7 linked regions of the Mus musculus genome follow. The protein of the gene in region 3 interacts with the protein of the main gene of each other region in a pairwise test. Links are inferred from orthologs where the notes say so. Each region holds a gene or a part of one and is shown on either strand. Other genes may lie near its edges. The genes, in order: Maged1, Crx, Prkab2, Pias2, Bend5, Cdx4 and Lzts2.

The links.
Region 1: the proteins of Prkab2 (region 3) and Maged1 interact in binary tests that used the Homo sapiens proteins (3 or more experiments, as listed by UniProt). The link is inferred for Mus musculus from reciprocal best matches to the Homo sapiens genes PRKAB2 and MAGED1.
Region 2: the proteins of Prkab2 (region 3) and Crx interact in binary tests that used the Homo sapiens proteins (3 or more experiments, as listed by UniProt). The link is inferred for Mus musculus from reciprocal best matches to the Homo sapiens genes PRKAB2 and CRX.
Region 4: the proteins of Prkab2 (region 3) and Pias2 interact in binary tests that used the Homo sapiens proteins (3 or more experiments, as listed by UniProt). The link is inferred for Mus musculus from reciprocal best matches to the Homo sapiens genes PRKAB2 and PIAS2.
Region 5: the proteins of Prkab2 (region 3) and Bend5 interact in binary tests that used the Homo sapiens proteins (3 or more experiments, as listed by UniProt). The link is inferred for Mus musculus from reciprocal best matches to the Homo sapiens genes PRKAB2 and BEND5.
Region 6: the proteins of Prkab2 (region 3) and Cdx4 interact in binary tests that used the Homo sapiens proteins (3 or more experiments, as listed by UniProt). The link is inferred for Mus musculus from reciprocal best matches to the Homo sapiens genes PRKAB2 and CDX4.
Region 7: the proteins of Prkab2 (region 3) and Lzts2 interact in binary tests that used the Homo sapiens proteins (3 or more experiments, as listed by UniProt). The link is inferred for Mus musculus from reciprocal best matches to the Homo sapiens genes PRKAB2 and LZTS2.

Annotation. Positions count from the first base shown.
Region 1 is NC_000086.7:94,539,226-94,543,471, forward strand, and holds the start of Maged1 (melanoma-associated antigen D1), read right to left. Parts: upstream 2,801-4,246; 5' UTR 2,667-2,800; intron 2,100-2,666; 5' UTR 2,071-2,099; coding exon 2,026-2,070; intron 1,323-2,025; coding exon 630-1,322; intron 57-629; coding exon 1-56. UniProt on the Homo sapiens protein: Involved in the apoptotic response after nerve growth factor (NGF) binding in neuronal cells. Inhibits cell cycle progression, and facilitates NGFR-mediated apoptosis. May act as a regulator of the function of DLX family members.
Region 2 is NC_000073.6:15,877,156-15,881,377, forward strand, and holds the start of Crx (cone-rod homeobox protein), read right to left. Parts: upstream 2,801-4,222; 5' UTR 2,661-2,800; intron 1-2,660. UniProt on the Homo sapiens protein: Transcription factor that binds and transactivates the sequence 5'-TAATC[CA]-3' which is found upstream of several photoreceptor-specific genes, including the opsin genes.
Region 3 is NC_000069.6:97,656,953-97,661,011, reverse strand, and holds the start of Prkab2 (5'-AMP-activated protein kinase subunit beta-2), read right to left. Parts: upstream 2,801-4,059; 5' UTR 2,643-2,800; exon of another isoform or gene 2,424-2,642; 5' UTR 2,399-2,423; coding exon 2,246-2,398; intron 1-2,245. UniProt on the Homo sapiens protein: Non-catalytic subunit of AMP-activated protein kinase (AMPK), an energy sensor protein kinase that plays a key role in regulating cellular energy metabolism.
Region 4 is NC_000084.6:77,063,848-77,068,007, forward strand, and holds the start of Pias2 (E3 SUMO-protein ligase PIAS2), read left to right. Parts: upstream 1-1,360; 5' UTR 1,361-1,548; coding exon 1,549-1,572; intron 1,573-1,625; exon of another isoform or gene 1,626-2,057; coding exon of another isoform or gene 2,058-2,060; intron 2,061-4,160. UniProt on the Homo sapiens protein: Functions as an E3-type small ubiquitin-like modifier (SUMO) ligase, stabilizing the interaction between UBE2I and the substrate, and as a SUMO-tethering factor.
Region 5 is NC_000070.6:111,413,553-111,417,805, forward strand, and holds the start of Bend5 (BEN domain-containing protein 5), read left to right. Parts: upstream 1-1,453; 5' UTR 1,454-1,622; coding exon 1,623-1,848; intron 1,849-4,253. UniProt on the Homo sapiens protein: Acts as a transcriptional repressor.
Region 6 is NC_000086.7:103,320,164-103,324,197, reverse strand, and holds the start of Cdx4 (homeobox protein CDX-4), read right to left. Parts: upstream 2,801-4,034; 5' UTR 2,639-2,800; coding exon 2,143-2,638; intron 1-2,142.
Region 7 is NC_000085.6:45,016,653-45,020,934, reverse strand, and holds the start of Lzts2 (leucine zipper putative tumor suppressor 2), read right to left. Parts: upstream 2,801-4,282; 5' UTR 2,705-2,800; intron 1-2,704. UniProt on the Homo sapiens protein: Negative regulator of katanin-mediated microtubule severing and release from the centrosome. Required for central spindle formation and the completion of cytokinesis.

The sequences.
Region 1 (4,246 bases), on a different chromosome or scaffold from region 3:
AGTGAGGCACGCCTTTGATCCCCACTGTTGTTCTCTTCCACATTCAAGTTATTAACCTGTATAATTAGAGAGAAGAAAATTTCAGGGTCACTATTAATCCTGGGTCCTCCCAGTTGCTATCTTAGGAAGTACCTAGGAATCTTCACCTACACCTCACTAGCCACTGGTCACTTTGATTCTCTTTGTCTTTCAGACAGGCGTTTCATCTCCAAACCAGACAAAGGAAAAAACAAACAAACAAACAGAAAGTGGGACCTAGATTTCTCCTTTTCCTGTGTGACTACGGACAGTGCTTGGTTTCACCCTGAACTCGTTTCTTCCTGACTCTGTTCTCTCTAGAGAGTGAGGTACATCTTCAAGATCTAATTGATTCTGTGTGAGCCTGCCTAGCTTAAGACATGGTGTTTAATGTCAAAATGTAAGATGGCCTACACACATATTGCCTGTGTCCTTGTATCAACTCATCATCAGCCTGTGGACAACCTGGGCTCAGGAATAATAGTTACCTTAGCACCCCCTACAACTGTGCCAAAATACAGATAAATCCATGCCCTTTATTGTGTTTGGAGCCAAGGAAATTGGAAGAAAGGAGAGAGCCCAAAGCAAAGGGAAGCTAGCTGGGATCTCACCTTGCGGGTCCTCTTGCCCCGAATTATAGTCCGGGACTCCACGTTCTGAGTCTGGGAGCCATCTGCTGATGTCTGGGCTGCTGCACCATCAGCTTCAGAGATACCTGCGCTGGTCCCTACGTCAGCCATTTTGGCCTGATTTACATTCTGGGTCTGGGCATCAGCTCCAGGGACCTTAGTAGTGTCATTCCAAGCCTTAGCTGTCTTAGGCTGGTTGTTGGTCATCTCATTGGCACTGGGAGACTGAGGGAAATTGTAGGTGGTACCGGGGCCAGCCTTAGTGCTATTCTGACCCTTAAAGGCCATTTCAGACTTTTTAGCTGATTTGCCTGTGGGTGCTGCCTGGGAAAAGTCAGAGGCAGCATGTGGACCTTTAGGGGTGCCATTCTGTGACTTAAAGGCCGCCTTAGACTGATTCTTGGGCATCTCCTTGGCATTACGTGCCTGAGAGTAATCATTTGGCCCCTTTGTGGTGGCATTCTGGGCCTTAAAGCCTGTCTTAGGCCTGGCAGCAGCTGCTGAAACCTCAGTATCAGCCTTCTCATTGGCAGTTGGGGGCTGTGAACTCTGGGGACTAGCATTTGGCCCACTGGCAGCTGCTGTGGCCTGGCTGGTGGGCGGAGCCTCGGAGATCTGGATGGCTTCCATCAAGGTCTGCACAAGCAAGGCGCTGTCTTCAACAGAGGCCTCAGCCTGCAAACACAGGAGGGGCAACATTTCAATCTCTGAGCCTTACATGGCAGACCAGAGGAGGGGGGGGGCGCGGCGCAACGCAGCAGGGGAGCTGTAGACAGGCGTCACAGTACTCAGACGTGGGGGCAGAGGCGGGTCAAAGGGAGGCGGGGCGCGAACAAAATTTAATTAAGGGTAGAGGGGGCAGGGCAAGGTGAGGGACAGTCTGTGGCAGCAGGGGCTGGTGCGGAATGTGGTGCAAGCTCTGAGCCCCAAATGGGTTTAGAGACGGACTGGTTAGGCTTGAGGTGGGGAGCTCAAGACCCGAGGAGGGAGGAATCAAGGAGGATAAGCCGAGAGGGTGGAGGGGGAGTCTCGCGGCGTGGAGAAAGGGAGGGTGGAGGCGAGAGGTTGGGGGATGGGGCGACAGACTGCTCTACACGCGTCAGGGTTATGGAAAAAAAATGGTTCCTTACCCAACCCGCATTCTCTGGGCAGAATGCCCTGACTAACAGGGTCTCCCCTTTCTCTAAGCAGGGACCGATGGCTGAAAAGGGCCGCCCCTCCCCCCCATTCGATAAACGCTAGAAATCTGAGAGCCCGCGGTGTCTAGGCCGGAAGAAGGGCAAAATCAGATCCTGCCATTCGCGCGACCTAAGGGGCCGGGGGTGGGCGTAAACTGTCAGCAGGGGAAAAATGGGGGAATTGGGAGCGGGGTCCTCACCTGGAAGCCGCGGAGGCCTGCACCGCCGTCCGGTTTCTGAGCCATAGCTCTCGTCTCCCTGGCAAGAGCAGAGCCTAAGGGGGGGGGTGTGGGAGAGAGGAGCTGGGCATTACACTACAGAAGGAAAAGACATAGGACCGAATTCTGTGTGCGTGTGTGCTTTGATTCTGGGGGCGGGTGAGGTGCCGAGTCCGGGGGGAGAACCAGGCCTAAGCGGAGCGGGAAAAGTAACCGGTCGTCCCGCTAGACCATCTCCAATCTCAGACGCGGCCAGGGAAAAGCTTCAGCGCTGCCGTTTTGGAGTCAGAGAGGAGCTGTGGATGCGGTAGTTTACGGGGGCGGGGAGGGAGGGCGGCGAGCGGGGAGACACGGGCGTCCGAAAAGTTGAATTAAGGTTCTGAATTCAGAGGAACCATCTAACGGGATCAAGGTCGGGAAATAGGATTCGGGGAGGGAACTGGAGAAAAGATTCAGGGGGACGGACGGAGTTTCAAATTAGAAAAGGGTCGGGAGCAGGGTCTGAATCCGGGAGCAGGCAGAGCAGGGGGCTTCCGAATCCAGGGTGAAGGGACTGGGAGAAAAGAATGGCGGAAGGACGCCGCGCCAGGGGGGCAGATGCCCCGTCTGGGGGCGAACCTCACCTTGCCTCAGGGCCGAACCCCAATCCCTTCGCTGTTTCCTTCTTCGCGACTCAAGAGGATCGGGAATGGCTCTGTCCGGCTCTCGGCACCCGCACTCTCTCCGCGTCCAGGAGAAAATGCCAGCGCGGCAGCTCGGGCGACCCCGCCTCTCCGCCTAATATACCACCCACCGCCTCTGGACGCGCCGCGCATGCGCAGCAGATCACTGTCCAAATAAGAGTCCCGCTTGCTTTCCCAACAAAAGCTTCATCCCAGAGCCATTGTTGCGCATGTGCACTTGGAGGAGAGCCCGCCTCCTTGCCAGCACACTATCCCACCGCCAACCAGGTTGACAGTGGACAAAGGTTCCTCCTCCCCTTCTCCTTACGCATCCACTCCTTCAACAGATGCGCAGCGCCTTTCGGTCCCACCCCCTGGCCCGACACACCAGCCCCCTACCTTTCTCCGCAATGCGTCTATGCTCAGTCCCGCCCTTTTTCCCGAACTCTCTCTAGCCAGGTCCGCAGCTCCCGCCCACCCCCGTGTGCAGAGCCCCGTAGGTAGGCCCCCCGCGGGGGTCTCTTATTTCGAAACATGCTAGGCCTCTGCTGAGTTCACCCACTCTACGACGCAGAAACCTTAAAGGCCAGAAAAAAAAAAAAAACCATTGCAGAGATACCGGAGCAAGGGTCGCCCGGGGGGGGGGGGGATCTATAGGTTTCCTCTCACTGGACTCAGAAAATGAGCTTTTTCTCTCGCCCTTTTGGCAGTTTTTGCCCATCGAAACCCTTTTTGAGGGCTGGGTTAGAGAGGTGAGGGAAAGGCGTTGGGCTGTGGGGTCTGCCCTGGGGCTTGTTTTTCTTGCAGGCTGTTTTAGGGAGATGGATGGAGTGCAACATTCTCATTTAACACACCAGGTAGCTAATGCAGAAGCCCGGGGCATTGAGCTGGTACCACACAGAAAGGCCAGAACCTGCCCCAGCACCGCTGCGCAGGCTGGTAATCCCAGCACTCTGGGGACTCAGGGAAAGCCCTGAGTTCCAGGCCAGCTGTGCAACTCTGAGACTTGATCTAAAAGACAAACAAAACCATCCATGAGGGGCCTGGATTTTCCTGAGTGTAAAATCTAGTCTGAGAACAGGGGCACTCCTTCAACCTCTATTGGAATAACAAGCTGTCCTCTCCCCAATATTTGTTCCATGGGAATAAGGCTTGTGTTCTAGGAGGCCTGGCATGTGTGGGGACCCTTTAGGTTCGTTCTGTGCTCCTCTTAGTAGGCAGTCTCCAGGAGCGAGACCGCAGGCTTTCTTGGTGACTGCTGGAGCGGCCAGAGCATTCAGGTGTGTCTGCCTTGTTCTTGCAGAATGAAGCTGGCCTTGGCTTTAGAATTCCGGGAGGAGTGTCTGCCCTATCTGTCCCTCGCTGTGTGAGTCCCCTGAGATATAGTCACTACACTTTAGTGGACTTCTCTGAGCCTGGTTTACTCACTACTATCCAAAACAGGAATCCCGCAAAGAGGGTCGTGCCCAAGGACACACAGCCAGCTGTGCTTCCAGGACAGCTGGGGAAACAAACGCAGAAAGATGGCATACAGATGCGAA
Region 2 (4,222 bases), on a different chromosome or scaffold from region 3:
TTCCAGCAACCACATGGTGGCTCACATCCACCTGTAATGAGATCTGATGCCTTCTTCTGACATGTCTGAAGACAGCTACAGTGTAGTTATGTATAATAATAAATAAATCTTTGGACCAGAGAGAGCAGGGTTAACTGGGGAGCAGAGATCCTAAAAATTCAATCCCATCTGTTCGGCTACAGTGTACCCATAAAAGTAAATTAAATAAATAAATCTTTTTAAAAGATAGATAGATAGATAGATAGATAGATAGATAGATAGATAGATAGATAGATAGACAGACAGATGCAACAGTAATATCAAACTTTGCTGTTTCTGGGATTTTTTTTTTGTTACTCTCTTTGTGTTGGTGTTTTTGTATATGAGTGTTTTGTCTGCATGTATTTCTATGAACACAAACACACCTGGTACCATCAGAAGAAGCCAGAAAGCAGTATTGGGTGCCCTGGAACCATAATTACAAACAGCTGTGAGCCCCCCTGTGGGTGCTTGGAATGGGAATCCAGGTCTCCCTGAAGAGCAGCCAGTACTCTTAACCACTGAGCCAGCCAACTCCCACATTTTTATAAAGACAAGGTTTCCCTTTGATATAAAGTTTATGAAGTCCTGGCTAGCCTAGAAATTACTCTGTAGGCCAGGCTGGCCTCAAACCAACAGTGATCTGCCTGCCTCTACCTTCCGAATGCTAGAATTTAAAGGCATATACCACTATGTCCTGCTACATGTCTCTGTAATTTTTTGGACCACAGACACTACAAGAGTTGCCTCAGCCATTGAGGAAAAAATAAACAAAAAAATGTCAGTAATATTGGTGTTTTCCTTCAAAACTCAACGTCTGTAACTTGCGTCCTTAGAAACATTAGCCATCAGCCCTGCTCTCGACCTCAGAGAAAGAATTCCAGTTTACTATGTTGAGCTGGCATTGAACAGAAATTAGCAGCCACATTGGCCTCAAAATGTTCAGCTCAATGCAGGAGCTGGACCTAGACCCACACATCTGTAGCAAATGTGCAACTTGGTGTTCGTGTGGTTCTTCTATCAAGTGGAACAGGGGCTGTCTCGGTTTCTGTTCCCTGCCATTGGATCCCCTTCCCCACTGTTTGGACTCCCTGGATGAGGCTCAGTGGGTCAGGATGTTCCTAGAACTGCTGAAATGTCCCAGAGTGGGGTGGTATCCAAGGGAGTCTCCCCTTCTTGAGGGAGAAGGGGGAGGAGAAAAGAGAGAAGGGATATGTGAGGAGGAAGACAGGAGGGAGAGGAGCTGTGATCCAAATGTAAAGTGAATAAAAATATAAATAGTTTTGAAAAAAGAGAAAAATGTTAAGTGTAATTTTTTTCCCATTTGTATGTGAGCAAATAGCTGTGTAGAACATGTTAGCGCTTATCTTTTGACTGAGCTACAGCCCCAGCCCGTGTTTTAACTAATAAACAATCTAATAGGACAGGGATCCATCCTGTCAACAGTCAAATAGCACCCAAGTGCCAGGCAGTGAAAAGAACCAGCGTTCTCCAGGGAGAGATGATCTATGTATTGGTATATACACAAACGAAGAGGAAATCTCAGGGGCCACAGGAGGGATCAACCATAAAGACACTTGCCACCAAGCCTAAAACCCTGAGTTTGATTCCTAAGAATCAAACATGGTGGAAGCAGAGAACTGACTCAGACTCCAGCAAGTTGTCATCTGACTTCAACAAAGGAGTCAGAAGACACACACACACTAAATATATATGCATGTATACTTATATAATGAATATATACCTTACAAACAGAGAAGAAAAATCACAAAGAGTTAAAAAAAAAAACAAGCGGGAGCAGTAGTACACGGGATCAGGAGTTCAAGACCAGCCTCTGTTACGGAACAAGTTCAAGACCACTCTATGCTCCAAAAGACTCCCTCTCAAAAAACATAAATTAAATGTAAAAGGTTTCTTTCGGGGGAATGGGGAGAAGACTCAACAGATAAAGCACTGTCTGTGCATACGTGAGGATCTGAGTTCAGAACCCCAGCACCCAGATAAAAGCTGGGCACACTATAACCCCAGCATTGGGGGAACAGGGACAAACAGATACACAGGGCTCACTGTCCAGCCAGCCTCTGCTCCACAGGGAGATCCAGGTTCAGTGAAAGACCTTGTCTGAAATAGGCTGGGTGTGGTGGTGAACACCTTTAACCTTAAGTACTTGGGTGGCAGGGGCAGGAAGATCCATCAGATGAAGGCCAGCCTGGTCTACATAGAGAGGTCTAGGAAAAAATAGCAAATGGAAGTATTTAGGAAGACAACCAGTATGTCTATCTCTGTCCTCCGAGGTTGCTCTCTCACATGGACACACACACACATTGTAGACATACATACACACAAACACATGAACATGCTCACACACCATGGATGTGTGCTTAGATGAGACATTCCACCTCTGAATGTCCTCAGAGTATAAAATCCATTCATCCTAAAGCCACTCCTGGATCCCAACAACTAGTCCCCAACTGGTATGACTTTACTCCCTCCTATCATGGTCCTAAGTGACCTGTTTCCCTGAACACCTGCTGGAATCTCTACCCTATGTTAATCTGTTCAGAAAGCATCACAAGACCCATCTTCATGTCAAACATGGGTGAGAATAAAATATTCTCGCAGCCTCTCCTGGAAAGACTCACCTTTGGAAAGGAGAAATGGGGACTCTCCTGGATGTTCAGGTACTGGATGGTGTCATCAGACAGCAGAGGCTAGAGGAAATAGGTCCCCTCACACGGGGCGACTTTAAGCCTGGGCTGGGAGTGATGTCATCTATTGTGGCCTGGATCTGGAAGGGTAATCCCAGGGAAGGTGGGGGACTCACTGGGCAACAGGAGGTGACATTGGCTGGGGGAAGGGCACCGTCTGCTTAATCCCACCACCCCCACAGTGACATCTTGGCAATTAGGGTTGATGAAGAAGGGAGGGAAAGCCCAACTCCTGCCTGCAACCAGGAGCCCCCACTTCTCAGGGAAGTCTTTCCTTGGGTCTAAAGGGTATTCCTCCAGCTTCAGCTACTATCTGAAAAGAAATGTCTTCAAAAGCACAGAAAGAAGTGTACAGTGCTCCTGGGAGACAGAAAAGAAAGGCACAGGACTTCCTGGGTTGTTCTTTGTGGCCCAGGCTAGTATTGAACTTTTAAGTCTTCTGACACAGCTAGAATAACTGGGAAGAGAGATCTGTGACCCCACTGAGTGAACTAATTCAAATGTGTAGTTCTTGATGGTTCTCCCTTTTTCTGCCTCAGTTTCTCTCTCTTTCTCTGTGCCTCTCTGTCTTTCTCCCTTCTTCCCTCACTTCCTCAGGGCTCTCTATATCTCTGTCTCCCCATTGCTCTGTATCTTCTCCATTGCCTCTAGTCTCTGCTTCTCTATCTTCATCACTATTTCAGACCCTGCCTCTCTGAGTTTCTTTGTGTCTTTGTCTCTATGCCTCTCCCTGAGTTTCTATGTCTCTGTCAATCTCTGCCTGTGTCTCTGTTAGACTCTCTGTCTCCCACTGTCTCTCTGTCTCTCTGTTAGTCTCCATCTGTGTCGGACTCTACCTCTACTCTCTGTCTCCCGCTATCTCTCTGTCTCTGGCTGTCTCTCTGCAGCTCTGGTTCTGGCTCTTTTCCTCCCTGTCTCTCTTTCTCTCTGTCTTTTTATCTCTGAGTGTCTCTGTATGTCTGACTCTTTCTCTCTGTGTCTCTCTTGTTTAGATTTGTTTATTGATTATACATACATGGATATTGTGCCTGCACCCACGTGTTCACACACAGTGAGTGCCTGATGCCTGAAGAGACCAGAAGAGGGCATCAGATGCCCTGGACCGGGAATTACAGGTTATAAGCCACCATTAAGTATTGAGAATGGAGCCCTGGTCCTCCTGGAGAGCCCCAGTGCTCTTAACCACAGAGCCATCCCTCCAGCCCTTCACCTTGTCTCTGACTCTGTCCCTAGTTCCCTTTGTAAGGCAAGTTTGCATTCTCTCATTGTCTCCCTCTGTGTCTCCCTCCTTTGTCGTTCTGCCACTGTCTGTGGGTCCCTTCCTGGATTTGAGACCCTTCTGCCTGTCCACCTAAGCCTGAGGCTACAGCCTGGTCTCAGAGCCTCTGCTTGCTTCCTGCAATCCTTGAGCTGAAATGAAGGTTCCATTGCTACTCCACGCATACACATCTTCCTGCCATCTCTCTCTCCCCCTCAGTAATTCCCTCCCCCTCTGT
Region 3 (4,059 bases):
CTCAAAGCAATGCCCTGGGGCTGACAGTTGCACTGGGAGTGCTTACATATGGCTCAAAACAACCCTCAGAGTCTCTGAGTCCTCATAGGATTTTGGGAATATATATTTTTAAAGCCTTCAGATAACAACACTCTTATCACATTACAATAAACAAGGAAAAACATATTTTATCGTTCTCTAGGGGTCAAATTTTCACTCCAGTCCAGCCTGGCAAGGTTTTTCCTGCCTCTGCCTCTGAAACAGCTGAAATCACAGGTGTGAGCCGCTATCATATCAGCTTTAAACGGTCACCTTTGAGGAATGTCCTAAAATGTTAGAAATACTATTTGTTGACCTGTTTGAAATCTGTTTCAGAGTGGCTGGTAGAGGAGAGGCTTGGATCCCAGAGGAAGTCTTTCATGACCTTCCAGCACCGTATAAACAGGGTGACATACACACAGTTCATTACACAGTTCATTTTATAAGTGTGTCAGATTTCTCGTAAGGTTTTTAAAGCATTCTTGGGGGATCCTGTCATACAAACAGGGCTGAGAAGCACTGACTAAGACTATTGATAACCCTGACCTTTGAAGCAAAGATGCCCCCAGCCCCACCGTTCCTATCAATTACGTTTATGACTTAAGGATTTTCAGTTTAGGATTTGAAAGCTCTAAACTATTAATATGCCTGGCTTTGGAGCAAAGCCCTTCCACTTATGACATGACATTTCTGTGGTAGGAATGACTGCTGCTGACTTGCAGAAAAACTGTTTGCTCCAGTTAAACCATCAGCGAAATCACCACGAACAGCAGCAAAGCAGCATTCAAAGTACAGCCTGCAAATGTTTAAGGAAATTCAGTGTGTGTGTGTGTGTGGAGGGGAGGGCATGAACTATAAAGTTTTCAATCTGATAAGACATGGGTAATTGTTTGAACTACTTTTTTCATTTCACAAAGGGCAAGATATGAGGGAAAGAATGTTCTAGAACAGGCCTAAATCCACACAGAGCAGCCTGGCTCTTATTCAGGACACCAATTACTGCAGTCACAGTTTGACTGTACCCAAATCCTGAGTCATCAATGTAGGAATGAGCAAAAATACACGGCCTGCCTGTCATCCTAGATAAGCTTTGGAGAAGGAAATCTAGGCTGAGTCCAGGGCCCAAATGAGGAGGAATCCTAGAGGAGAGGAAACAGGGAAGAGGGAACCCCAAGAAATGGCCGGTTCAATGACGCACTTTTCTAACGGCGTTCTCAATCTCGATCGGAGAAAATAAGGTGTGTAATTCAAATTTCATGTGCCATCAAAGTGGCAAATAAAACTCTGTTATCCTAAGCCTCAGTTCACTGGGAAGTGATAAATGTCCACCACCCCACCCCATCCCCAAGGGCCGGGTTTTCTTTTTCACTCCAGAAAGTCTACCGGGAGAAATTACATGTATTTAATGCTGACATTTCTAAGTGATTAGGAACATTAGGGTAGCAATCACACTGCTGTCAGCTCCATCTGGCTCTTCTTTTGAGTGACCAAAAGTGGCCTCTGGCTCCAAGTCTATGGAATTGAGAGCTAAGGCTTCAGGTCAGTAGAGGGTGGTTTTGAGCCCCGGGCAACGTTTTGAAGTACTTCTGAGGAGTGAAGTAAAGTGACTTGCTCTCCTGTGCAAAGCTCACAGCTACATTTTAAAACGGCACGTTTCAAAAAAAGATCTGAGCCATTAACCAAATGATGTCCTATATGGATCCCCAAGACTAGGGGAAAGTATTCAAGTAATCAACTGATGGCAGCTCAGAGCCATACAAAGGTGGACGAGGATCGAAGAGGTGATGCAGAACACGTAAGAGAGAGCAAGAAGGAGACCTACACAGAGACATTTTCAGGGAGAAGTCATCTAGCTATCTTGAGGCCAATGTGAGAAACTGAGCCCTTTTCAATAGCTCAGACAACGCACCCTCCGAAGTTTCCACCCGCGCTCACAACCTATACATCCTGCAAGCTCTGGAAGAGGGCAACCTGCACGTAGATCCAAGGATGGGGCTGGCAGGGGATGGGTTTTTGGTACTCGTCCTAAAAGGTTGGCCCACAGATTACTCTGAGCAGCAGGAAAACAACTCCGCGCCCCTATCCTAATTTGAGGTAGTATCTAGGAGGAATTAGCACCCAGCATCTCTATCCGCGGAATAGCCTTCTAGTTAAAAAGCCCATAACCCTTGAGAATGAGGAGGAAGAACCAAGAAGGGCGGAGCTGCCGGCAGCCCCGCTACCTCACCTTGGAGTCGGGCAGGCTGAAGACGCTGGGGTCGTCCGTGCTCCCCACCATGATCTTGTGCTCCTTTCCCGGGCCATGGCCGCCGCCCTCAGCTCGAGCAGCTTTGGCTCCGTGGCGCTCCCCGGACACCCGCTCGCTGGTAGTGTTTCCCATGGCTGCAGCTCGAGTCGGGGGCAACCTGCCGCGGGGAATGACACCAGGCGGGGAACACCCCCGCGGCTGCGTCAGGGGCGCCCCGGCCCCGCCCCTGCGCCCGGGAAGGGAATCCCCGCCGCAGGGGACCGCGCCCGGGGTCCCCTCCCTTACCCGCTTCACGGACGCCTCGGCTCGGAGAACCGGCTCCGGGAGCCCTCGCTGCCCCACAGCCCCGGTCCCGCACACCCCCCACGCCGCTCACCTCGGGCGATGCGCTCCGGGCTCGCGTGGCTACACGCACGCCGGCTGTTCGGCGTACAAGGAGACCAATAAAGTTATTGAAATTGAAGCCGCGCCCCAAACCAGCGAACCGGGTTTCCTCCTAAAATGGCTACAAGGCCCGCGACGAGGTACCGCCTCTGCCTCTGGCCCCGCCCACCGAGCCTCTTGTTCCGCCCCCTGCGCTCCAGCCCCGCCCCCTCCTCAGCCTGGGTCGCCTGCCTCTCTAGCCACCAGCACCGCCTCTGTGGTGGGTGCGTGCGCAGCTCCGGCTTGGGGCGGGGCCGAGGGTGGGGTCCGGGTCGGGATTAGGGCTGTGAACTGTCCGCCCAGGGCTTGATAGTGGGGCGTCTTGTCTTCCTAAGCAGTTTGTCTATCCATGGGGCACGCGGTTATTAGAAAAGCCGAATCCGAGGCCTCCCCGTGCCCTAGGTACAGAATTAGAATCTGCACTTTTAACAGGATCACCTCAAACGACTGGACAGCGGTGCATAGTGGATCCACATTTTCATATTCCGCGTACGCCTCTACCAAGCAACCTTTTTAGTTGTCCCAGGAGGCATGAAATAAAAAGTAGGACAGAGAATTGACTAGACACGTGATGGCAGTTACTGCAGAAGACTTACTTCTATGTGATGCCCAAACTCATCAAAGCGGTGTTTTCTGTTACTGTGATTAGCTGTGTGGATTAATGCAAACAGCTAATGAGTGAGAGCACAGGTAGGCTGGGAATATACTATTGGACTAGCGTTTTGAAACCAGTCGGCTGGAAGTGAAGATAAAATAGGCTGATGGAGGGCCCAGTGGGGTCAAAGAACTCTGGACACAGGAGAGACTGAGTGAGCTGAGACAGTGAGAGGTGTCCTGTGAGAGTAGCGTGTCTGCCACTGAGGTTTCAGTGGTCTTGCAGTCATTAGCACTGGCAGAATCTTAGACAAGTGTGTAGATCGGTGAGATGAGGCCGACCATAAAGCCATTAGAAGTCATAAACCCTGATGAGATGGTTCAGTGGTTAAGAGCCCTTACTGTTCTTTTAGAGGACCCGGGTTTGGTCCCAGCACCTACAAGGTGGCTCATAATCATCTGTTCCAGGCGCTACAACACCTTCAGGTGCACATACAAACATGTAGGCAAAACACTCAAACATAGATTAACATTTTAAACAATGAAAGTAATTACTCAAAAGGAACAGTGAGGTAGCAAAGAGAGTTGGAGGTCTACCTTAACATTGATTTCCTTCCTCTTTACTGAAGCACTGACTCTAACCTTAGGATGTTGTCTGTCTCCACAGAGATGCATTTCTTAGCCTCCCTAATAGATAGATAGGGGGAAATGGTAAGTAGAATTTCTCCGTTTCTCTTTCTTTGTGTATAGGGTGTCCATAGAATGGCCAGAGCTCC
Region 4 (4,160 bases), on a different chromosome or scaffold from region 3:
TTTATATGTATACCGTACTTCAGTTAGCTCTTGGGCAAGAGTTTAAGGAGAGGCAGTCTAGAGCTTAGTTTTGTTTTTGTTGTTTGTTTTTCTATGTTGGGAATGGAGGCCAGGAACTAACAGAGTCTAGCCCAGAGCTTACCACTGGACTATGGCCTAACCTTATCAAGGCATTTGAATTAGTATGTTTGAAGAAAGATCCTTGTATGCTAAGGAGAACTGACGGAGGTATAGAATAGGAATTCTTTGCTCACAGATCAACACTTTAAAACTCATACAAGTGCAATGTTCTCAGAATGACTGTAACTGGAAAGAAGCCTTAGGTAGTAACAATATTAAACGGATTCCGTCAGTCTTATCAATGAAATCTGAACTGTGTGTGACCAGCCAGTTTGACTCTGCATTATGTCTGTCATTATGTGTTTTTTTTCATTCTCACACTTTATTCTAGGCTGGCTTCCACCCGGCTGCATAACAATCGCTCATCCTCCTGCTTCAACATCCCAAGTCCAAGTATCTGTTTTATTTCTCCTTTTTTCATTCTTCCATCGAATCTGGGAATATCGGCAATCTTTCTTCTATCTCTCGTCTCTTCATTTTATTTTTCTTCAGCTATCAGGATTTCCTGACTTTTTTCATCAGAGTTTTCTGGGGTGCTCTCTTTTACTTCACTTTTCTCCTCACCGTACCCACAATTCTTTCAACGTTGCTGTCCAGGCCGTTGACATCCCCTTCAAGGTCAGGAAAAATATCAGCCAAGGTGAAAAATTAAGACACAAATTAAAAGGTCTTAGCCAACTGGGTGTGGTGGCACACACCTTTACTCTCAGCACTTGAGAGACTCAAGGAGCAGGTGAATCTCAAGTTCGAAACTGCTCCACGAAAGAGTTCCAAGCAAGCCTGGGTTACACAGTGATGCCCTCCCTGTCTCAACAACAGAAACACAAAACAATTCTTATCCGCGATCACCATTAACTTGGAACAACGGTTTCCACATCACCCTTACTTGGCTTATCCTATCACAGCCACTCTGGGGATGGCACTGAGAGAATCTTCTCGAGTGTTTCCGTGAGTCCTGTCCACTCTCTTCTCTCGGTCACTTCCTCAGCCGAGGCGGTCCTCCAAGTCCCGGGAGAAGGCCACAGTTCCGGTACGAGCCTCGGGAGCTGCCCGCTCTGCCGGTGCGGGGAACAGGGTGAGGGGAGGAGACAGGAAGCGGCGAGCAGGACCGCGCTCGGTAGGGACAGGCCACCAACCGGAAGCGCGTGGGTCGGGGGCGCGCTCGGGCGGAAGACCGCGCGCGTTGGGTTGGGGGCGCCGCGAGGGGCGGGGCCAGCGCGCGCCGGGGGGCGGGACTCCCGCGCAGGTCACGTGAGGGGCCCGGTGGAGGTGGTGGAGGTGTCGGCGCGGCGGCGGCGGCGGCGGCGGCGGCGGCCGCGGCGTCTAGAGCGGCGCCCAGTGCAGGATGTTGCAGGAGACGGCGGCGGTGTCGTTGGCGGCAGCGGGTGGAGGAGCGGCGACGGCTGAGGCGCCTGCGGGCGGGAGAAAATGGCGGATTTCGAGGAGTTGAGGGTGAGCGTCGCGGGGGCGGGGGGTGGGGGGGGCTGAGCGGAGGCCGCAGGGCGGGGGGAGGGGAGGCGGGAGCAGCGCGGCGCCGCCGCTGTCGCCGTCGCGGTCGTCGCCGGGGCGTGCGGCCGGCTGGCGGAGCCGTACGGTCCGGCGCCGCGCGGGCGAGGGCAGGCGGATGGCCCTGGCACCCGGCGGGCCGCACACCTGGCGGGGCGGGTGGCTCGATTCGGCTGGGCACGGGACAGCCAACGGCGGTCGCCTTTGCGGTGGCGACCCCGGGGCACGCCGTGACCGCCCGCCTTCGGAGCCGTGAAGGAGTTGCGTTTAGGGAGCTCCCTGTCCCCCGCTGGGGTCTAGGCAGGTCTGTCACGAGATGAGGCCCCTTCCTCCCACCCCGTGCTGTCTCCCTCGGCGTGGGGAGAAGCGCGCTCTTTTGGGAACGCCGCCTTCCGTAGTCGGCCTCCTACCCAGAGACTTGGTTTGTAACCATGGTAAGAAAGCTTCTGAGTCCGTGTTGTCATGTGTGTGTAGTCGGTGCTCTTGAGGAACAACTGTTTGCTAGCATGAGAACAAGGTCATAACTTTATCGTTGGTGCCTTTGTAGTCGGGCTCTAACGGAGAGGCTGGTGGAGGTTATAAGAAAAAAGGATTTATTTTTTTCCTCCATTAGATAATCTTCACAGAAACCTTATCCCAAACTAAGCCAGGTATGGTGAGCTGCATTGAAGGCCGAGTTACTGACGACATATGTGGGATGTTTACAGATAGAAACCCTGACTCGTGCGTGTGTGTGTGTGTGTGTGTGTGTGTGTGTCTGTCTGTCTGTCTGTCTGTCTGTCTGTCTGTTTTAAAGTGGAGACAGAAGTATATATAGATTTGAAGTTAAATGAACTTGCAGCCAGTTGGGGTACCTTAGGCACGTTTGGTGTTTGGGTTACTTTAATCTGGTTCTGCTTTGTGAGACTGTTATTGTTTGTGGGAAAAGGATGTTGGCAGGCCGGACAGCCAACAAAAGAGTGAATGTGAAAGCTCGCATAGGGCCTACCATTTTCTCTCCTGTTTCAGGAAAGATTGATTTTATGGTTACATGTTGTATCCCTTATCAGTTTATACAGGTAGCATAACTGACAAGGGCAATTGAACCGTATCCATCCTAAGTGTTTAGTGGAGCTCCTGAGATAGCCTGAGCCTCACTCACTACAGTAAATTTTTACCTGCAGTATTACCTTAACTTTTGCACATTAAACAGATGTATATTTCCTCTCAAAAGGAGATGTAGCTTTTTTTGGTTGGTGAAAACCTCCTAGGTGTATTAGACTTTTAGAAATGTCACTGGTTTAAGGGAAGAATTGACCTTAATCATAAAGGGTGGAAGAAAGGACATCAGTACTCAAATTGAAGTGGAACCAGGCAGGACCTTAGAAGCAGTCCCTTTCAGATGTCTCTGTTTTGTTTTGTGGCAAGCTTCATTTTCTCATCTCTAAATCAACTTGGTTTGGCCTCTCCTTGTGCTTGGTAAAAGATAGTATTGTTGGTTTCCCCAGTCATATAGTAAGTGACCAGCAGAGACTTAACCCGAGTTTCCAGAGGAAAGGTAGGAAGGCGGAGTTCAGCAGAATTAAACTCTGTTTTGCTTAGGGCAGACCCATGTTAGCTTGTATTTTAAAAACTTTATCTCAGTCCACAGTGCAGAAAGTGATGGTGGTACATACTCATTTTAATATCACCGAATACATGCCAGACTCGCTTCACATACTTGACATATACATTGTATTCTCCTAATTCTATGAAGACAACAAACACACATAAACTTTCACCTATATTATCCTTTGAGAGGAGAAATGCTAAAATTTTAAACACTAGTTATCTGATTTTAGAATCTTGAGTTCATGTTTGATTTCATTGTTCAGGTGTCCTCGGAACTAGGTGGGATTCCTAATTTTTCTATTTATGGGATAAATTAAATGATAAATACCATCCTTTTGTATCATAAAAGTGGAAGAAAAACAGAGCCCCTCTAAAAAACCCAACCCCCCAAAAAAACAAACAAGCAAGCAAACCAAACCGAAACAACAAAACCCAAAAACTATAATCTGAAAGAAAGAGAAGGGGAAGAAATATCCAGGACACTCAGAATGATGGTTTCTGGCACAGACTATATTCAGATGATCATAGTGATAGTTAATTACATTATAAAATAAAAAAAATTTTATGGACATTAGCTTTCTGGTTATCTTGGCAGTGGAAGAAATGGTAGACTGATTGGGGTACTGTAGTTTAAGCTGTTGAGGATCAGTGTAGCATTAGTCAGCATGTGGCTGGTACTGTCCATTTTGGATGAAGATCATCCCCTCATTTTAGTAATCATGTTCTTTCACTTTTTAGGCTTGGTGTGGTGGGGGTGGGGGGAGGGAGATGTCATTTTATAAGTGTGGTTTGAATAGGTATGACCCATAGATTCAAGTGTTTGAATGCTTGGCCTATAGGGAATGGCACTGTTAGAATGTGTGGCCTTGTTGGAACAGGTGTGACTTTGTTGGAAGAAGTGTGTCATTGTTGGGGTGGGCTTTGAGGTCTCCAATGCTCAGGCT
Region 5 (4,253 bases), on a different chromosome or scaffold from region 3:
ATGAAGTGAATTTGGGAGTTTGGCTTTATCTCTATCATGAGTATAGCTGATTTGGAATGTGAGCACAGTGCCTAAAGTTTAAAATGGTTAAATGCCTTTTATTATTATTGTGAGGACTAGCAACAAGAATGTGTGTATGTGGAATATGAGCATAAAGAGTACAAGAGAAAACAAAATCTCTCACCTATGCAAGAAACTCAGAATCATAATAAACATTTCAGTGCACTTGTTTTGTTACAGGTTAAATTTATTTAAATGAGTTTTTAAAAACATAGCATTTCGTTAAATCTACCACCTCCTTTATGCATGCCTTTATGAGAATACTTTTCTCACTATAACCTCATTATTAAGCTTTCTTAATGCTCTCAGACTAGAATGAAAGATTACAAGTAGCAGAAAAAATGGGTTATTCAGACAGTAATTTAATATTGACATAGGATCCAACTGAGATTCAAGTTCTAATACTTTAGTAAATACTACAAGGTCCTAGGTATCTATTCTTTCTATAGACCACCAAGCCTACAATATAACATGGAGTGTGTGCTCAGAAAAATATTAGTTACTTGAATAAAAGAATAAGTGGAAGAATGGATGTATGTGAAATTCTGTTTATCCTTCCCCCAAAATTCACCAATCTCTCTCTGACAAATACCCTGGTATTGAGCTAGACAATTGGAATATAAATAGCTCAGTTTCCCTGTAAGCATACAATACAGAACAAGTACAACTCTCAGCCTTCTTTCTCTGGAAGGTGTGGTTTGTCTGCAGGAACCAACCTTTCCAGGTTCTCATCTGTGATTTTGGAAACAGAGAAGGGACTGCTGTTCTGCCCAGTTTGGCTCCTGAACTCAACTGACTCCAGAAAGTCCGGCCTCTGCTCTGGCTCCCTAGAGCCCTCCATCCTTGTTTCATTCCAACTGTTCCAGCCCAGAATCAACAAGTAGTGGAGGCGATTCCTCAATGGAGAAAGACCACAGGGAAGAGGGGTGCCGCTGCTCCCTTAGGATAAAAACAGCCCTGGTCTAACCCTCTGGTATCCCAGCAGCTGGTTCAACTGGAAACCTCAGATTACTCTAGTTCTGGCCAAAAACTGGTTTGGCAGCTCTAGGGGAATGTTTCTGGCTCACTGACCCTCACAGCAGGTGCTGGCAATTTTGCAAAAGAAAGAGAAAAGGGGGAAATGGGTTTGGAGGGTGGACTGAAGGAACGGAGGCGCTTAGCTAAATTCGAAACACTAAACTATTGAATCCGCCCGAAAGCGACTTTTAGCAGCGCTCCTCCTATCCTCTAACGCTACTATCATATATGCTCTTTCCCCACCTTACTGCAATCGCACTCCGGCTGTGATTGCTCGGGTCTGACTTCGCAAGTGGCGGTGTGCTTCAAAACCCCCTCATCCGCCCCTCGCCCGGCTCTCTCCACTCCCCTCCCTTTTCCGCGCCCAGGCGAGAGCAGCCGATTGGCAGAGCGGGGCTTTCAGGAACAATAACAGTGGGGGGAGCCGGGGCCCCGGGGAGCCTCCCCGCCCCCGGCCCGGCTGCGGCTCACGCCCCTCTAGGGGTCCCCACCTCCGCACCGCCCCACGGGCTGACCGGCGCCCGGGCCCGCCCCCGGCGCCCACCATGTACGCCTTTGTGCGGTTCCTGGAGGACAACGTCTGCTACGCGCTGCCCGTGTCGTGCGTGCGCGACTTCAGTCCCCGCTCGCGACTGGATTTTGACAACCAGAAGGTGTACGCGGTGTACCGGGGCCCGGAGGAGCTGGGCGCCGAGCCCGAGAGTCCCCCGCGTGCCCCTCGGGACTGGGGCGCGCTGTTGCTCCACAAGGCCCAGATCCTGGCGCTGGCAGGTGAGCGAGCGGGCCGGGAGGGGCGTTGGGACCGGGCGGACCTGGGGCTGGTTCCGGGAGAGGCCGGGCGGCTGGGGCCAGGGAGCCACCGCTTGCTCTTGCCTCCCGTTCCGACTCCTTGGGCTTTCTTTTGGGTACCAGGTGTCTCTAAGAGGCCAAACCAGTTAAAAAGACCTGAGGGTCCCCTTTGTCTTCCTTGCTTCTCTGACACTCCTGCGCCTTGCTGTCAGTCAGCTTTCTCTACTCTGCTCTCTTCTTTCTGACTCTTTTGTATTCCCCTTGGCTCTTCATTTTCTGCTTCTCTAGCTGCCTACTCTAGCTGTCATCTCTCCCATCTCTCACCTTCACCTCTCTCAGTTACTTCCCTCTGTGTTGCTTTCCATCTTAAGTTTCGAAAACTGTACCTCCCTCTCTCCCTTTAAGGCCCTTGGCGTCTCCTTGGAGCAAGAAGCAGTGTTAGGTCCTTTTGATGGGGGCCCTTTTTCACAGAAGGAATCTCTGACACTGTTCCATCTGGGCCATCATTAGGACAAGGAGACCAAACCTCAGTGTACTGCCCAAGGGGCACAGGTGAGGAGGTGAAGGGCCTTAGGTAGCCTCATCTCCACCCCACTTTATGCATCTCCCAGAAGGCTCCTTGAGAGAAAGATGGTACAAACAGTTTCTAGTTCAGGTGAGGGCCTGACCTCCTAACTCTGATCACACCTGGGGGTGGGGAAGAGGGAAAGGAGACAGGCTGACAGGCAGGCAGGTGGTCTCTTGGTTAATGGGTAAAGATAGATTCAGTTTGTTAACAGGACAAGCCTTTCGGCCTCCTGTACTATGCTGTATCACGCTGAGACATAGGTTCCTCTTCAAGCAGAAACATTTGGCCTTCTTTCTGATCCACTTGTAGAAGGCTTGGGTGCACACCAAGTGGGGAAAAGGAAGTTACCACTTCAAGGCTGGAGAGCAGAGATGTAGCTGCTGCTGGTAAGAGTGCTGCCTTTGATTGAGTAGGCAGAGACTGTCACCTTCCACCTGGAAGACAACCCGGAGATTAGGAGCTGAATGAAGACATTGCAAAGATTTCATGGTTTTGACACTTTTCCTACTTTTTCCAGGGACCTATGTTTCCTCTCCTTTAGCCTAAAAATGAACCTAGCATGAATCAAAGTGACTTGTCCAAGATCCCTGGACAAGCTGTCAGTGTATCTCAGCCTGGTGACTGATTCCTTTTTAATAAATACCTCTAGAAAGTAGGCTTACTAGAATAAAGGGCCAAAAGATTTGGAATAGATCAACACCACATGGTCCTCTTTTTGAAAGGTTAAGTACTTATCACCTCCTAGACAGGTCCTGGAGGCACAGGGCTGTAAGTCCACTTACCACCAGACACTCTGGTCCAAGAGAAAAGAATGAGCGAGGGGGGATAGGTTTAGAACGGAAGTCTTTGTGGCTGATTAGGTTTTATTTTGTTAGCGTGCTTTCCTTTAATTATCTAGGAAGGGATTAGGAACTTATTCAGCAAGAGGATAAGCCTGAGGAAATGTTAACTAGATGGAATGTTAACTGTTTGCTACAAGAAAATCGAGGGTGTTTCTTGATGATCCAGACTCACGGAGATCCAGAGAGTAGATAGGATGGGTGTCAGGAGGCAGTGGCTAAAGACTCTTTTAGAGATTGTCGGTCTCCCTGTCTATCCACTCAGGCATCCATTTCTCCATTCCTTCAGGGAGTGTAGGCACATGGTACTCTTCAAGAAGTACAGGGAGCCTAGCTAGACAGATGGCAGCCTGCACTGACTCTTCTTGTAAAATCAATACAAGTTGCAATGAGTTATTAAAATACATACATACGTACGTAGGTACATACATAGGAAACCTAGGCAGCTTCTAGAAACTTAGCAGAGTAGATGTAGAGATGAGTGGTAGCAGTTTCAGTTTCAACAAAAGGAGTGCTTCTTCTCATCTCCAGTTTTGTTTTTTGTCTTTTCAAGACAGGGTTTCTCTGTGTAGACTTGGCTGCCCTAAAACTCCATAGATCAGGCTAGTCTTGAACTCAGAAAGATTGAGTGTGTGGCAGGAAGGTGTAGAGACTTTGGCAACTTGAGGTTGGCTGGATTCCATTTTTTTCCAGTAAGCTGGTAAATTTATAAATTGGAACTGTTGTTCTTGGTGTAGACCTGATTGGAAGGGCCAGTGTAAATCCAGAAATTCGTCTATCCTGGAAGGACTCTCTCCCGTGTGTGTTGAGCTTGGTGGCTTTGAGGCTTGCTTGAAGTGACTTCACTTGAAAACTCACCTGACCTCTGCAAAGACCTGTCTGTTGTCTAACTACAGTCAGCCTTCTTGTGGACTTACGGACTCAAAACTGGAACCCATGGGCTCTTAAGATCTGGTAATCCATGGGAGCAGAGTTGTGCT
Region 6 (4,034 bases), on a different chromosome or scaffold from region 3:
CTCTGACTTGTCCGTTCACTTAACAGACCTTTAACATCTGCTCCCTTGCTAATATAAAGGGGTATACTTTGGTTTGGAGTGTTCAATGGGGTGATGACATTGATTTTTGTGGAGTTTAAGGCCCAATATCATGAAAGATATTCAGTGAGTCTAGAATTTCCAGAACTTATGAAAAGTATCACTTATATGTGTGGGGTGCTCTCATCTTAAACTGTTGATGAATAACAACCTGAACTATAAGAATATGCAAAAGGATGGTATTAACTTACAAGGAATTCAAATGAAACAAATGTTGATGTTAACAAAACTTTGCCTATAGGACAAGTTGCCAAGAGTCCAAGGAGCTATAACCTCATTCTCAGTTTTGAGCTTCTACTAAACATGGAAGAGAGGAAGTAACACAGAGTAGATGGGGGGATCCCTTCTCAACTTCTCTTGGCATCAGAATTACCCAAAGAAGGCTCTGAGATATATATGGAAGACTTAAAGCAAAACAGAGAAAACTGTCATGTTTCCCCTCAGCAACACAAAGACAAATCGTCACAACTGAATTTTCTTATTGTGTCATTTTCCTCACATTGTTTTCCATTCTAAAAAATGTGCTAGTGACATTTCCCCCTACAGTATTTCAAAGGACAATCCTAGACAGTAGGTATTTTTATGTCCTTTTTAAAATATGTATTTTGCTTATTCTTAGGTTTTAGTGAATGGATGTTATTTTTACCCTGAAGATTAGATGTAACAACAGTTCTGGGGATGAATGCCCTACCCTAGCCTTATTATTATTTTTTAAAGTTACATGACTTATCCATATTTTCTTCTTAATATAAGTTCTTAAGTGTTACTTTTAACTTGGGATCTCTACCCTAGTTATAAAACTGGAGCTTCCTCCTTCTGGCTGAAAATTCTCCTAAAGGTAAAAAAATGTTACCTCCCTATCCTTTCACCTTTGCTTTTTGGAAGAGCGAGAAGGGAAAACACATGGACAAATACTATTGAAATATCATTGCCTCCCCAGAGGGGTGAATGTGATAGACAAATGTCACTAATGTCCTCTAATGACAGGGAACAAGTATTGGAATAATAAGAAAATGTTAAGAGAACAACCACAGCTGTAAACAAACATGTCACTGGCTCCCAGTCTAAGAATTACAGTGGAGTCTTCATTTCCTCTAAGCTCGCGCCTCCCTCCCCACCAGCTAGCTGCTCCCAGTTGCCCGCCAGGGCTTATTGGTCAGCGACATTAGACCTTAAACTGGGGTCCTTACACCTTTTAGTGTTTTGACGCTGTCGCAGACTTGCATTCTGCTTCTGCATTTGTGGCCACCTGCTGAAATAGCTATGAGAGCTTTAGGCACTTAGTGGCGGGGGTGGGGGGGGGGAGATAATAATACTTGGAACAGTTGGGTTGTGTGCCTGGCGGATGTAAGGATTGTGTCCTATGAAATGACAGCTCAGTTCTGTAACCTTGTTCACCTTAACGCTTCCTTCGGTTGGTAGGGACATTGGAATAGGCTTCAAGACATTTCTAATTTGGGCGACGGAAGATGTAGCTTCCTTAGGCATCTTGTATCGAGGGCCGTTTTTTGCCTTGGAAGCCTTCTTAGGCTCGGCCGTCGGTTGCCAGCTAAGCACCTACTAAGTTGAGCATCACAAGTTTTCAGCGAGGCTGCATACCGCGGTAGGGAAAGATTTGGAGATAAAACCGGCAAGCACCATGACAACCTTAGCTGTCCTTCACCCTGTTCATCATGATGTGCTTCTGGTTTTTTCCCTCCGGACAACGACAGGATTGGATCCCGATCCTTGTGGTTCATCAGGAACACTGTCCATACCCTTACTCCCTTGACTTATCTGGAAAGGGTAAAGCCAAACCAAACCAAAACCCAACCAACCAACCACCTAAACAAACAAACAAACAAACAAACCCACCTCAACAACCCCCAGGAGAGGTTTAGTTCCAAGCGCTACTTTTAACCGGCTTTGAACCTAGGCGCAAAGGAGGGAACTACTGATCCCATCAGCCAGCTACGCTGTGGGCTGCTTAGTTGAACTCTCCTACGGGGACGTAGAGTGAAGAGTAAGAGGGTAGCGGACCAAGGGTAGAGAAGAGAAGAAACAGCGGAACGATGGATTACTCACCCGTCACCTGCACAGTTTTGCGCATCCATGCGTAGGGGCTGTGACGGCTCCTGCTGGGAGAAGTGGCGCCTGAGGTGCCGGAGTCAAGAGAAACCAGTGACTCGCTGGCCGCGTCTGGCAAGCTACCGCCGTTGCTTGCACCGCTGGTGGGGCCCAGAGTGCTGTAGTCTGGGGATCCGAAAACTGGGGAGGTCATGTCATTCATGGGCACTGTGCCCATTGTACTGGGCGGCCCAGGGTATGTACTCCAGTCTTCCCGGGGCGGACTGTAGGGTGAGCTCCAGGCTCCCAGCGAAGGCCCGTGAGGATCCATGTTGGACATATGAGGGTAACCCACGTAGTGTGGGTAAACTGGGGCTGCAGTAAAGTTGGAGGCAGGCAGAGGACTACCACTGCCCCCAGAGGTGCCCACTCCGGCTGTACTGCTTCCTCCAGGGCTCCTGAGAGTGCCTGGGTACATGCCCGCTTCTTTTTCTAAAAGGCAGCTTCCATACATGGTGACTTGGATAGAAGAAGTTGCCCCTTAAGCCATCCTGAGGTCCCTGTAAACTTAGCGCCAACCCGAGTTTGAGACGCAAGAGACTATCAACGGTCAGCACTAGTAGCGCTGCTAGCTCCTCTGCGCGGCTCGGACTACTCCATCCTTCCTTTCCTACCCTAAATTTCCAGGTGACTGGTAGTGAGCCATAGGAGGGTTACCAAAGGCTGGGCTGACGTCAAGGGGCTTCAAGCTTTTACATAGCATTTGCATTCAAATGAAGGGCCACTTAACGTCTTCTTGTTCACTCCAAACACCTTCTCCCCCTAGCTCCTAGCCCATCAGCGCCACTTCAGGGACTCTTCTGGTTTCGTAGCACCACTTTTGCGCTTTTGGAGGCAGTTGTTCCTCAAGAAATTTCTCATTGGCTTCTTCAAAATGAGACTGAGAAGCGCAAAGTCTTGCTTCCTTTCACTGAGGCCTGCCTTTCCCTGATCTTCCAGAGCCCAGCTTGCTCTCCAGGTTTTCCCCTCTGCCCATACTCTCCTGTATGGACTTTCCAGCTGTTACTGGCCCATCATGCCACTGGCAAGGATTTTCCCTTCTCTCACACACAAGGAGAGGGCTTTGTTTCTCTGGACAGATAGATATTTGTTTCACAAATGTATATTCAGTATCCATAGTGGGTCAGGAATTGTTGTAGGCACTGGGAAACAGCACTGACATATACTTCTAGCTTCCTAAAGTTAGATTCCAGTTGGATGGAAGGTTACCTAATTAGATGCTAACAAATATGCACACATTAAAGAAGGAGAAGGAGGAGATGAAGAAGAAGAAGAAGAAGAAGAAGAAGAAGAAGAAGAAGAAGAAGAAGAAGAAGAAGAAGAAGAAGGAGCCATGAAAAGGGGAGAGAGCGCAAGTGGGTAGTGCATACTCTGAACTTCATAGTAATGTATTAGTTTCCGTCTGTCTTCTTCAAAGTCAGTGCCCTAAAGGACAGGAACTCATGGAGTTTGAAATCCATGGCAGCTACAGCAGACTTGCAATTTCCTTCCAAAAGTATGAACTAGGTAAGCACTCCACCACCTATATCCCAGACACAGTCACCCATTTAAAAAGAGGAGCCCCGGGGCCGGCGAGATAGCTCAGTGGTTAAGAGCGCCGACTGCTCTTCCGAAGGTCCTGAGTTCAAATCCCAGCAACCACATGGTGGCTCACAACCATCCGTAAAGAAATCTGATGCCTCTTCTGGAGTGTCTGAAGATAGCTACAGTGTACTTACATATAATAAATAAATTAAAAAAAAAAAGAGAGAGAAGCCCTGACTGCATCTGCATTATAAAGCAGGATTCTCAAAGATGACACCTGTAACCAGCTTGACTGCTATACTCATTCACTGAATACAGTTTTTTTG
Region 7 (4,282 bases), on a different chromosome or scaffold from region 3:
GCGCTGTCCAGCCTCCCACCACTGGGCCTCAGTTTCTCCCAGACACTCAGGCGGCTTCGAGGGTGGAGCTGGCCAAACAGGAAACCTTACAGGTCTTAGGAATCCACAGGTGCCCTCTGGGGTCTCTCCTACCTCCCAGAGGTTGATGCAGGCTGTGCTTGTTTCCATGTCACTCTTAGCTTCTGCCATCACTCGGGACTAAGGGAGCCTACCCAGGCCCTGTCCCACTGCCAACCTTTATAAACCTTCCTGCTTTAGTTGATCTTCAGAATAACCCCTATGGAATTTGAGCAGGAGCCCATTACCACGTCTAGTAGGAGCTCAAGTAAGATGGCTGGCTCCGCCTCCCCTAGTCTTACTCCTTCCTGGAAAGAACAGCAAGCCTGCACCCAGAACGGAACTCCCGCCCAGTCCCAAGGCTGCCGATGACCAAGACTTAGGCATCTGCTGAAGTCATCACAGAGCAAAGGGGCCAAAAAGTGGACTGAGGATCCATGAGAAAGAAGAATGTGTGTGTGTGTGTATGTGTGTGTGTGTGTATGTGTGTGTGTGTGTACATTTACTTGTGGGTGTGAGTACATAGACAGGGTCATAAAAAAATGAACAGTATCTGTGAGAATATGCATGAAACTGTGCAGTCCATGTGGGTTTAGACAGATGTCAGTACGTTCATACATGTGTGTATATGTGTGTGTGTGATGTAGGGGACATGACAAAACCAAACAGGGTTGTGCTATGTACCATAGGTGGGCCTCAAACTCAGATCCTCCTGCCTCAGAGAGCTGGGATTCTAACCTTGTGCAAATATGCCGAGCTGTATGTGTGGTTTTTTTTGTTTTTGGTTTTGGTTTTGGTTTTTCGAGACAGGTTCTCTCTGTATAGCCCTGGCTATCCTGGAACTCACTCTGTAGACCAGGCTGGCCCTGAAATCAGAAATCGGCCTGCTTCTGCCTCTGCTTCTAAAGTGCTGGGATTAAAGGTGTGCGCCACCACTGCCCACTGTGAATTCTTTTTTGCTGTTTTGTTTGTTTTTTGTTTGTTTGTTTTTCCAAGACAGGGTTTCTCTGTGTAGCCCTGGCTGCCCTGGAACTTGCTCTGTAGAGCAGGCTGGCCTTGAATTCAGAGATCCACCTCTTACTGCCTTCTGAGGGCTGGAATTAAAGGCGTGTGTGTTACCACCACCAGGCTGTATGTGTGAATTCTTATGTTTTACAAAGTTATGAGTTTCGTAACTTAGAAAGCACACCACACAGTTATTAATGTGTATAAAACAAATGAATCTGTGGGCTCTGGATGTCACTATATGGCAAAAAGAGAAATGTTTGGATAGATATACCAGTTTGTGCACACATATGTGAGGTTTGTGTAAATACCACTAAATCTTCCAGTCACCTATCCTCAGTAAGCCATTCTGCTTCTTCTCCTAGCATGAAATTCTAGGGAAAATCCTCCTTTCTTTGGGTCCATTGAGTCAAGTCTCTCATAGACTGAGACACACAAATCTCTACAGGACGCCTGCAGTTCTCCTGGGACAGTTACATGGATTCCTACTGTACACAAGAAAAGTGTGTGAAAGCTCCCCAGGACCAATCTGTATAAGTGAGCGTTCTGGGAGTGCATGAGGACCTGGGTGACATTCAAAGCCACCAATGTGAATGGGGACTCCTCCTCCCTAAAACTTTTTTTTAACTTAAGAGTTTGAGGAAAGGTGAGATCACAGTGCCTGACGCCCTTGCCCCATCTTATCTTTGTATATTGTTCTCCACTAAGTGCCTCTAAGTGTTAAGACCAGAGACTCACAGGAGTCCAGCGTGAGGAAGGAGTTGCTAAGAGCTAGGGTAGGAACTGAAGTGTAGCAACTTCTCTGTAGGGTAGGTACTGAGATCGCCCCCAAAAGGTCCAGCCTAGGGATGGAGACTGCTCCACAGTATAGTGAGGAGTGAGAAGGGGCTGGCACTCCTGTCCCTACTCCAGAGGACACAGAAAGTGAGACCCAGAAGGAAGGGCAAGGGCCGGGGTAGACACTCAGAGAGACAGGAGCCAGAAGACAGAAGAGACAAAGGCCAAGAGGCTCAGACACGAGGAGCCAGAGGCAGACCCATGAGTTAGGGTCGCTGAAGCTACACAGGCAAGGACCCCTAAAGCCAGAGGAGCCACAGAGCTGAGCTCTGAGGGCCAGGCGTCAGGAAAGCCAGGCCTAGCCAGCCTGGCTCCCGCTTTTGAGGCCCAAGAGAGAAGGAGGGGCAAGCGGCTCCATTTTGAGAAATGCGTTTGTAGCTGTGGGAAAAAGAAAGCCCTGGTTCTCCCCAGCACTCCCTGACCTATCACTATGGTACACAGACCCCTGCGCCCCCACCCCAGCAAGTAAGCTGGGGGTTCTAGAGTCTGGGGCCGCGCCAGGGCCTGAGATGAGTCTGGCCCACGTCCCAACTCTCTGACCTCAGGGCTGGGGTTGGAGAGTTGGGGAAAGTCCCCCCAAACACACACACTCAAACTCCAGAGACCAGTCAAGCAGGATCCAGTCTGGGATCACGAGTTGCCATTCCGAGACTGAAAGCCCAGAGTCGTCGTGTCCCCCCACCCCCCCCCCCGCCACCCACAATAGTCCGCTCCTTCCATAAACTGGGGGCGTCTATGGAATGCCACCTCCCCACCGGACCGCATCGCTTAGAAGTTGGGGCACCCTCAGCCCTGGACCCCTCACCTCCGCCGCGCTGCTCCATGCTCAGCCCCGGGCCGCCCCAGCACTCCACAGGCGCGCCGCCCGCTCCAGCCCGCGCGCGGCCACTCGGAGCTGCCCGGCTCGGCCCCGCCTCCGCCCAGCCGGCGCCCCCGGCCCTGACCGGCCCCCGCCCGGCCCGAGTGGGCGGTGCGCACTGATGGGGGGAGGGGTCCGAGGGGCGTTCCCGCCCCGGGGAGCGGACACGCGCAAGTAACCCACGTCACGCGTGCCAGCCAGGGCGCACGCGGGGGCTGCTCGGCGGCGCTCGGGATTCCTCCCAGAGTGGCCTAGCAACTGTGTGTGTGTGTGTGTGTTGTGTGTGTGTGTGTGTGTGTGTGTGTGTGTGTGTGTGTGTGTGTGTGTGTGTGTGTGTGTGTGTTAAGTGTGGTGTGTGTGTGTGCTCGGTAGCGCTCGGGATTCCTCCCAGAGTGGCCTAGCGACTCTGTGTGTGTGTGTGTGTGTGTGTGTGTGTGTGTGTGTGTGTGTGTGTGTTAGGAGGCTCGGCCGGCTCGAGACTCATCGAGCCGGGTCACCATCGCCTATCCCTGCCGGAGCCCAAGGGCCAGCGGCAGCTGGTCATTGTTCCAGCACAAAGAGCCAAGGCGCGGCGCCAGCCCCGCCCCTCCCCCTCCGCTCCTCTAGGAGAAGCTTCCCTCCTCAGTCTCCAGCTTCCCGGTCCATGGGGAGGCCGAGGGGGTCAGCCATCCCTCTCCAGTTGCCGGCTCCTGGGCACAAGTTGAGGGACTGGCTCGGTCGCTGTCTGTCCCACCCCCAGCAGGCTGGAGGTCACACGCTTGGATTTTCCAAATCGGCGCCACCTGGTGGCCCTTTCCAGCAACTTACCAGCCCCCCCCCCCCAAGACCCCCACCAATCCCACTCCCTTTCCAGCACAGCACCCTCGGGCCGCGAGCCCAGGCTTGTCCCTGGCATGGCTCCAGCCTCCCTAGCCGAACCTCGGGGGTCATTTGCTATGAGAAGGGTCGCTGCTCAAAGGGGGTGGGAGGGATACCTGACCCCCAATAATCTCAAGAACGAACAGCTCAAACCTACACTGGCTCCGCAGCAGACATCCCAAAGTCTCTCTTGGGGTCACAAATATTTTTACCCTCTCGAAAACAACAGTCTTAACACCCACACGACCTTTCCCACATTCAGTCTCGGGCAGCCACAGTCAGTCTCATCCATCACGTGGCTCCATAGATCTTCATTCCATAATCCTTCAGGCCAACTCACAGAAGGCTTGGTGTTTCGTGCACGGGAGAGTGCACAACAGTCCTTTGCATCCAGTCACATTCTTTAAATACACTCAGCCTCCCAACCCTCTTCCACGCAATGACAGCCGGATTCAGCCACTCTGGAAACTTCTTACATCATATTCACAAACTACCCACTTTCCCTGAGGGGTCTCTGTGACCTGCTCAGGTCAGCCGACCTCACATGTTCTGGCAAGGCCATCCTCCCTTCCCCGATCCCCCCCGCCCCCCCCCCCAAGGTCTGCCAGAGCTGGGCTCAGCCCCAGGAAGAAGCACCCCCCCCCCTTCCAGGCCACAGCCTGGCCG